Drosophila melanogaster: one gene and its partner. The protein of the gene in region 2 interacts with the protein of the main gene of each other region in a pairwise test. Each region holds a gene or a part of one and is shown on either strand. Other genes may lie near its edges.

Region 1 (5,331 bases), on a different chromosome or scaffold from region 2:
CAACTGTTGCAAGTTGCAGTTGCAATACTGCTGCTGGGTATCTTACTCGGTGCCTGGGTCTACGGTTTACGGTGTCGTCCTCCGTTTGGCGCCACTGGTCGTCACTGATTATGCCATTTCATAAAGCAAAATTCCGGCAGCGATTGTGCAGGAGTGGCCCCAAAATGCGGCCAAGGATCGCTTGCAACCGATGCAAAAATGCTGATTGCCATTTATAGATTATGTGCATAAATCAGGAAAAAAGCTAGCTATTACTTTGGGGGCTATGAGCCATGGAAAAGTTGCAAAACATTTTGCCAATCATAATTTTATCCATCACTCTTCTCTAACGCTAATTGTCATGGCCGGGGCGTAAATTATTAAATAAGAAAAGCAACCCAAAAACAACACTAAAACTTGCCAGAGATAAAAAAAAAAACAAATTGAAGAAATTCAAAATATTGCAAAAACAAAAAAACCAGAGGAGAAAAATTAAATAAAATGCCTGTACAGATGGGTCGACCCAACAAGAGCGTGAAGCTCATTATGAAGCTTCGTGTCCAAAACGCGGACAGCAATTACAAAAGCAACATAGCCAGTAAAACAATAACAATAACAGTAACAATAATAATAACAACAAGCCAGGCCAAGTCAACTCAAGCCAACACACAACACAACCCAAAACACCGAAAGAAGCTGGCTAACAAAAGGCCGAAAGAGCATGAAGAAATGAAATAAAACCAACACCAGATTCAGTCCCACTCCAGAGCACAAAACAAAGCTTAGCCCCATCCCATCTGATCCCAAACCATACCATACCATACTATACCAACCCATTCCCCAAAACGGCTGGCTAAATGAGAGTGAATCCACATTCATTGAAATTGAAAGTGAATCGTGCCACACGATCCGATCCAGAGTCCAGACTTGGTTACGAGTCCACTGCGATTGGATCCTCTAAATGACCAAAATAACAATTTACACACATTAGCTACATATATATAATAAAGCACATATATATATATATTTATATATAAATAACAGAAATCAGAGATTTTAGGAAAAACCATGTTTCTTTGGCAATCAGTTCGAAGGAGTTGTACTCTACAGCGAATCTATACAAATGTTTTAAATGGGCGAGGGAAAAAAATGCACAAGACATATTTATAAATTAAATATTACAAAATATGACTTGCCTTTAATAATTAAACTATCTAAGCTAAGAGAGGCATTTTCTTTTAATGATAAAAGAACAAAAGGCGTGATAAATTAATAATAAGAGAACAGATATTCTCAGATATTCTTAAATTAAGCAGGAAATCGTTAAAGCTGAGGTTACCGCAAAAAAGGCTTTTATTTTCTTGCCTTGAAAATAATGGACCCTTGAAATAAGCTACATTCCAGCAGCTAAGTGTCTTCAGAAATAAAAACCATAAAAAACTATTTGATGGCCTTGCTGCCTCAAGCTTTATTTTACATACATACACTGCACCTTTCAGGTTCCTTATTTTCCCCATGAAAATAATCCTAGTTGGGCAGAAAAACAGAAAAAAAAAAACAACCAACCACATGCTCGAAAAACCACGAAAAAGAAGTAGTTAATCGAAGGAGGAAAGCCAAAGCCAAGAAACGGTCAGCAGACGTTGCAGTTTCGGTTGGCTTTGCGGTCGCCGTTTGCATCGCAGCCAGGAGCTGCAGCCTCAGTTTCCCCACCAGATCATGACTGGCCAAACTTTGGACTTGGCTTAAACATTTCAATTTCTTCATGGCTACATGCTGCTGCCGCTCTTTGCCAACTGCTCAGCCAACTTGGCCGACTGCTCGGTCGACTGCGGCAGCAGCTGAGGCAGCTGAGGCGGCTAAAGCAGCAGCGGTCTTGATCGTCGTCTTGAATTTTACTTAATTTTTATTTCACGCGCTGCGCTGCTATAAAAGAAACTGCAACAATCGTTGTGGCATGCAGTAAGAGGTTCCGCGTCGAAGCAGCACCACATTGCCAGTAACCAGTAACCAGTAACAGCCAGTAGCACCTAGCCACCTGGAGCAGTGACAAAACCCGAAACGGATATACCCGAAATAAGCCACCCGAAAATGCATTCCAGTTGTGTGGTATGATCTTGTGACCAAACCGACCAAGTGGCCGTGATGGACATCGCTTAATGGTGTGTTCTCCTCCGATCTCGTTCGCAGTTAGTGGTCCTCATGGCCCTGGCTGCCCTGGTGGCCGCTCGTCCAGAGCCGCCTCGTGACTCGTACAGTGCGCCCCCCTCCAGCAGCTACCAGCCAAGTGGACCCAGCGGAGGCTACGGCGCCCCTGCGCCCCAGTACGGACCTCCCCAGCAGGCGCCGGTGATTCACAAGCACGTCTACGTCCATGTACCTCCACCAGAGCCGGAATACCAGGCACCCAGGTGAGTGGCAGGATCAAGGATCCTCTAAGCCAACATAAGTTCCAAAGATCGCGAGTAGAATAGGGTTCCCAATAAACCTATTCTTCAACCAAGTTCCGGAAAAGGATCTATGCATACTCGTTTAAAATTTTTGTCTATACTAGATGATAATTATATCAGACCTAAAAATGGAAAAAATCTTTAAAAATGTTATTTTAGACACATTCAGTTTAATCACAAAAGATACGTATTTAAGAGTTTAAGTAATAGTAAAATTATTTATTTTGCATAGTTTCACAAAATAGAAATCGCACTACACTCCCAACACAGTGAGTGAGTGAACAATCGAGAATTTCTTCTGATAAGCCGTACAATATAAACGTACATCCTGCGGTTTTTTTCATTTCACAACGTAATCAGTTCAAATTATTCACACCCCTTATCCAGCACACTTTTTTTTCGACTTGCGTGATTGTGAGCGGTTACAAACGATCTCGCTTTATTTGTCTTGTTCCACTTAAGATTGGAAAAATATGGGGAAAAAACACATTGTTGTGTTATGAGTATATAATCCAAGGCACTTATGCAGATTCTCTCACAATTCATCGGCGTAAACCAGGCAGTGCCGTCAACTCCCAAAGATAATAACTAGACAAATGTTGCAAGAGACCAGCCGGCAATCATCTAATCCAGCTCAGGGCCCTTTTCCACAGCTGTTGCCACATTTCCAGGGTATTTAGAGGGTCGCTTAAACGGAGGAGGAACATTATTTAATACCCGCGAAAACGAAAGCCATCCAACTTTCCTCTCTTTTCGCTGATACAATGTTTTCTGTCGTCTTCTGTCTGTTTTCAATTGGAGTTGGAAGCGATGTTAATTACCACGAGAGGGGAATGATATGGCTTTGCAGACCGCCAAACCGTGACTAAAACGTTACCTAAGCTCGCCGCAGCACTTGTACTCGTATATATCTCAGTACCATTTCCAAGCAAATTATCAGGCGCAGAGGGACAGGAACTCGATTACCATAGGTAGCTTTATGTAAACCCTCGTCTCGAGGCGGTTGTTGTGACAATCGCTGTCATCGTCACAATAGTCATCATCTTCATCTGATTAGTAAAACTGACAAGCAGCTGCAGTGGGTTCAACGTTGTCGGGAGGTCACCATTTTCGGGAGGTCACCATTTATGGGCATGCCATTTGCATGCACCTCAAAGAGAAACTCCTTTCTCCCGCATCGCGGTATTTGTTCGTTCAACAAGGCAAGGTTATAGGAAGTGTGGAAAGTCATTCCAGCCTGGCCGTGTGTAATTGAAATTTTTTTATTCAGTATGTAAATTTTTACAAGCCGGAAGCAAAAAAAGTTGCGTTATATGAGGATGTGGTGTCTTACTTTACCCATAGAATTCCTAAGAAATTCCTTAAATACAGATATAGCAGAACCTTTATTTAAATACATTTTTAAATATTTTCCCAGGAAACCCCTTTACGTGCCACCTCCGCAGAAGCACTACAAGATCGTCTTCATCAAGGCGCCATCTCCACCAGTACCGACCGCCCCTGTAATACCGCAGTTCCCACAGAACGAAGAGAAGACCCTGGTGTACGTGCTAGTCAAGAAGCCGGAGGAGCAGCCGGAGATCATTATCCCAACGCCAGCTCCCACCCAACCCAGCAAGCCGGAGGTGTACTTCATCCGCTACAAGACCCAGAAGGAGGAGACCGGACCCTATCCCAACAGTGTGGCGCCTCCAGCGCCCGAGTACGGAGCTCCAGCTGCCCCGCCCGCACCCTCTGCTCCCAGCAGCTCGTATGGGGCACCATCCCACTAGGCGATCCAGTCCAACCCGAATACCGATTTGCTTATCTCAACCCAACTCATGGCAAACTGCATATCTTATGTGTATTGTATTATTTTCTGTTTCAAGGACCTTAACGCGTGACAAAGTTTACCAAGCAACGAATCTCCCCCATCCCCTCTCCACACCCAGCTCATAGGATTATTACTCCTATAGATGAGTAATTCTTATCTCTGATGTTGTTTCTACCTGATGTACGAGAAGTATGTTTTCCATCTAGGCTGTTTGTTTCAAATTGTTTGTTTAGTCTTAAGTCTAGGTCTTTAAGCGAACGATGCGTTATACACTCACACAAAACACTCGAAACACTCACTGCGAGCTAGCCTTAGTTATCGATAGAGATATCGATCCTGATACCGATTAACGATATATACGTGGTACATGATTTTCATCACAAACGCATTTTCAAGTAGGCAATTTATTCCAATTTCATATTGCACATTTCGCACACGATTTGTCATTAAATAGAATGTGCGAAGCACTCGAAATGCAACAAAAAAAAATGAAGATTAAAATGATACTCAAGTATATAATGTTAAAAACACAAAACATCAATGGCTAAATAAAAGTTTAACGAATTATCTGTACAAGATGGATTTCTTTTTGTATGTTTCACATTGCAAGTCTTAACATATGTGTACATATATTTATATATATCTGTTTACTATACATTTTCATTTGCCTCGCAAATGTATTTGAAATCAGAAGTACAAGAAGCAACCCACATGCCACCGTTATGTATAGAAACGCAACGCTGATCTACATGTTCGTATAGTGGCTCTCCAGGATTCCATTTCAAAAAAGGTGCTCTCTTTCCGGAGGACACAGATATGAAAACGCCCTTTTCAGCCAGATCACTAATGCCAATCATATAAGTGTTGTCTTTGCTTAGTTGCGAAACGATAGCATTAAAGTCTGCTTCATTTATAATTGAGGCTAGATTACCTCCCATCTTTTGACATGCGCTCAAAGCACTGGTCCAATTTTGTTGGACTATGTCTTCGATGTGCAAATATCTCGATCCGATTCGCTTGAACCTATGTAAAATATTTATTTTCGCAGACATATTCTTCAGCGACGTCGTTATACTAGTCAATGCTTCC
Region 2 (4,713 bases):
GATAGATATTATATATTGTTATTAAAAAAAAAAAGATTAAGATTTACTAACTTCGTACTTTTTCAAAAGGTAAACATTTATCATCCCGAAGCTGCATTATTAAATGGATACGGTTTTGATTAAAAATTAAGTACAATGTACAATATAATGATTCACTCTATACTCATACTCTCATAGCTTTTTCTCCGTGTACATATTTGGCTTGCTGTACGGTTTTGCGGGTTTGGGTGGTTTTGGGTGGCCTAGGTGGTCTGGGGGCGGGGATCAAATGGGATTTGGGGTTTCACAGAGGCGTAGGGGTTTCACCCTGGGCTCACTGCACTCGTCCTACCAACGGTCACAACTCCTCCTGGCTGCACGGCGCCTGGAAAGAGCAAAGAAAGGCGGAGAACTGTAGAAGTCACTCAATGCTCTTTGCTTTTCTTCCGGCTAATGTGCACAGAGAAAAAAATCGCAATACCAACAGAATTGGTCAGCACTTGCGGATTTCTTCGCCCGTAATTGGGAAATTGAATTTAATTAAGCTAATATGCAACAATATATTTTTTGATTTTGATGATCTTGAAGGTAAATTACACTTATTTCATTAGACTTTGGCATTGCAAAATCATTTTTTTTTTTTTGGTTGCACTTATCAGAGGTTACTCATTCTACTTACCCATTGTGCGTTAATTGTTGATAAGTTATTCCTATGAAAAATAGTTTCTTTTATTCACTTGCGTTCTTCTGACTCCAAAATGCGTCTGAACTGACCAAAGTTTGTCTTTTCACTAAACTATTGGTTTGCAAAAGCCTGACGTTTAAAAACCGAACCAGAGCGATTCGTCACTGCTTCTTATCGGCGAGCTTTTATCTTTCAATTCGCATTTGTACATATATAAAAAAAGAAGTGCAGTTGATATTGGGACCTTTGCTATCACTAATTTTAACTTCCAGTCTCGAAAGCTCCATTTCCAGAAAAGCATTCCATTTATCGATCGAAAATGAATCATTGGCCCAAACAGGCGGTACTTTTGGGAGTAAAAGAAAAAAACAAGTAAATCGAAGCATGTGGACATTGTTTTAAATGTTATTGTTGTGCCCTCTCAACAGGTGGAACCCCAATTAAATAGACCCATAAACAATATGACGCCTGCCAGAAGCGCCCATGCTCAAAAAATCCCCCCCGTTGAAGGGGCGATAAGCATGTCGAAAATTTGTACTTTTAATAGAAAAAGGATCATTCATTTTGAATTATTTTTTACCTACTGAAATATTAAAAATAATCTTTAAACCTTTAGTGTAATGTATGTGCTTATTTTATCTCTTTTAATTAATAATTTCTTTGTAATAACAAACAAACTGATTTCAAAGGACATATGTATGTATGCATTTATGTAAGGCATAAAAGGCATTAAAAAGTATAAATATACATATGTGACTCAGCGGTAACGATATCAATAACTTTATATCGCAATTGACTCATCTTTAGACCAAACAAGTGTCTGTAACTTTACAACAGTTACAGTTAGTTTTCCAAAGGTTTCTCAATTATTAGGTTTATGATTTGAATAATCCACAAGAAGGTTAGGTAACTGTTTACATGTTGGTTCTTATTTTTGTTCTAGAAAAGCATTCCTGAACTTATAGTTGATCCATGGACAGCCACCCTCATACATATAATCTTTTACGAACTTATTGATGAAGTTTATTTTTGACTACCGGCGATAAGATTCGTAGCCAACTGCTTATAGATAAAACCCGCAAAAACAAAAACAAATATTCATGCACAAGATCGATTGAGTAATTTTGGTTGCGCTTCCTGTTTAACCCAGAATTTAAATTGTTTTTACCAAACAAAATCATCCAATATACATTCTGACACACCTGTCAGTTGGTCGCAATGACGAACACCCTCTACGACATGAGGATACCTTTGTGGAACACACACAATCGAACGGTTCAGAGCAGTGTGACTAAGATATCTTATCACTGCCGGCTAACTTGCCGAACTGATAAGCGGAAACAACAGCTTTTAAGGCGCAACCGATGTGCGGGTAGCGACCAGTCGTTGAAGTCAGCCCAAACATAGCGGAGCCAGCGAGTATATAACATCACGTTCCAGACCTAAATCAACATACAAAAAAAGCACACAAATACAACATGGGAGGTGAGAACTGAAGTGCAAAGTTAGTGACTAAGATAATTCTGGCGAAAACGAAAGCATAGTGCCGCAATTAGTCGTGACAAGTGGGCAAGTGTCATCGATACTCCGCGCACCTGACAGCCGAAATCCCTTGGAGCTTTGGTAGCTTTCCATAGATCCAGCGATTCTACACCCTGACAAATAAAAGACAAAAAACCTCTACTGTGGCTGATTAATGGTGTACAGTTGGCCCTCGTTGGCCCAAGTTAACTTATCGCCTCTGACCTTGCTCTATATATATATTTTATTCGCCCTCAGACTACACCTGGATTAGCACCAACGTTTACGGATCCCTGCCCCCAGGAGCCATCCTAGCTGGCCACGACTCCGACCAGGATCCCATCTTTGTGGGCCGTGCCTACCACAATGGAGAGATGCTGCCAGCGAAGGTGGTGCCCGGCAAGCAGCAGGCCTATGTGCCATGGGGCGGTCAGGAGATCAGCAAGCATGACTTCGAGGTCCTTGTCGGTGATCACTTCTCCTGGATCCCGTCCAGTGGTGGATCTGTCCCGCCCCATGCCATCCAAGTGGGCCAGACTGGCGAGGGTGAGCCCCTGTACGTGGGCCGTGGTTACTTCCAGGGCAGCCTCACCCCCGGCAAGGTCCATCCCTCGCACCAGTGTTTGTACATCCCCTACGGCGGACAGGAGGTAGGTCTAACCCTCACTTTGATGTTATGTTGATGGATTCCCTTCATCCCCTCAACAATAACGTTCGAAGACCACGTAGTGACGAATCGCACAAGCAGTGTTTGCAATGTGATAAATCTTAGTAAATCACTTTTATCTTATATCATTTCAGCACCGTCTGGAAGCCTATGAAGTGCTGGTCCAGCCCGAGACGTGGATAGCCTCTAGCGGACGCGGCATTGTTCCCGGAACAGTGGTTGGCGGACACGACGCCGATGGCGATCAGATCTATGTGGGTCGCGCCTACCACGAGGGCGATTTGCTGCCAGCCAAGGTGAGAACCTTAAACTATATACAGCTCGTGTTCCGAAAATGTACACTTGGAGCATTCCATCTTTAAATCTGTTCTGTTGCATCCCACTTTATCTATCCACTTATCCACCACAGGTGATCCCCAACAAGGGCTGTGCCTATGTGCCCTACGGAGGCGGTGAGGTTGTGAAGCACGACTACGAGCTGCTGGCCGGATACGGGTACGGATGGGTGCACGACAGCCATGGCAATGTGCCCGGCAATGCCGTTCTCTGCGGCCGCACTTCCGACGGAGAGCCCCTGTTCATCGGCCGTGCCCACCACCACGGCAGCCTCACTCCCGGCAAGATCCACCAGTCACACCATTGCCTCTACATCCCATTCGACGGCGAGGAGGTCCGCATCGACCACTACGAGGTCCTGGTCAAGGGCTGAGCTGCTACAGCGACTAGACTTTTGTGTTGTCCCCCCGTCGTCTGCCTACTAATTTATAAATCATTTTGTTTCATTAAAAACGTCCTCTGATAAACCAAATGTCCGAAATTTTAATGAAAAATGACAAGACAGCTCATTGTTGTTGCTTGGTAAACACAAGTAATTTGTTTTAACATATTTGATATATTCTATATATTTAATAATCGCCTGCTATGAACGCTACTCTATAGCGAATTAAGTTATGCTCAAGTTTATTGGCATCGCAGCAAAAACAAGGACAGCTTGTCCAGTCATCCCTGGTTTCCATAGCTGTCAAATTCGGACAATGACTCTCCAGGCACGAAAATCCAGCAGCTGCCACAAGTGAGTTGATGATAGACCGGGGTCACTACGCCTTTTGACTTCTAGTCGACCGATTTCGGCGAACTCCAGTAATCAAGAGAGAACTATTACTAAAAGTCAGTGTGGTGGTTCACCGCCAGTTTAATGGTTTCTAGACTTTTGGAGAATCCCTGGTCTTGGTTATTAATATGGATTGAATTTTGCTGGAATATGTATATTTCCTCGCAAAAGCTTCTCGTAGGGAAATGAGAAATTGGGTAAAACGGAATAAAGAAAAGAAATAAAATATGATTCTAATCAATTTTAGTATTGATGTTTTAACAACAACGGGAACCTTTTTTATAAGTTCTTCTTCTGTGGAAAGGCTATTTTGATTTCCGATATATACAACTCAAATGATCTCGTCAAGAAGGGCGATAATCTCATACAACCAAAAAATTCGTTACACCTGAAGTTATGCTTTGTTTTGCAAGCTTTTCCAGAGCTTTCGATTGACTCTCTACATGGCGCGTAGACTTTATGTAAAGATACACCCCCAGGGTCGAATATCTTATTTTTTTTCCCCTCAGCCGCACTCGCTTGCTCTCACTCGCGCTCGCCCTTACTGCTTGCTTGTCATTGGTCGTTTGTTACCGTCGTCGGCAGCGCTATGTTTTCATTGGCTAACTGGAAATCCGGCCGCTCCCGACCTCGAACTTAATTGGTCTTCTGTAGCAAGTTTCTCAGTCTGTGGACGTGGCCAACTAAAAGTGGCAGGTGGCCAAGACAAGGCGTTTCCTATCACATTTCATTTACAAGTTAATTTTCCAC

What was found. Proteins that work in one complex are often made in the same cells at the same time.
Region 1: the proteins of CG13321 (region 2) and TwdlE interact in a two-hybrid assay, tested with the Drosophila melanogaster proteins (one large-scale study listed by BioGRID).

The regions. Positions count from the first base shown.
Region 1 is NT_033779.5:7,857,440-7,862,770, reverse strand, and holds TwdlE (TweedleE), read left to right. Parts: upstream 1-1,931; 5' UTR 1,932-2,070; coding exon 2,071-2,088; intron 2,089-2,169; coding exon 2,170-2,390; intron 2,391-2,650; exon of another isoform or gene 2,651-3,846; coding exon 3,847-4,201; 3' UTR 4,202-4,814; downstream 4,815-5,331.
Region 2 is NT_033778.4:12,951,515-12,956,227, forward strand, and holds CG13321 (uncharacterized protein), read left to right. Parts: upstream 1-1,597; 5' UTR 1,598-2,142; coding exon 2,143-2,149; intron 2,150-2,443; coding exon 2,444-2,835; intron 2,836-2,986; coding exon 2,987-3,148; intron 3,149-3,261; coding exon 3,262-3,561; 3' UTR 3,562-4,198; downstream 4,199-4,713. Other genes in the region: CG44251 (uncharacterized protein), read right to left, coding at 659-662; CG44250 (uncharacterized protein), read right to left, coding at 332-364, 659-662.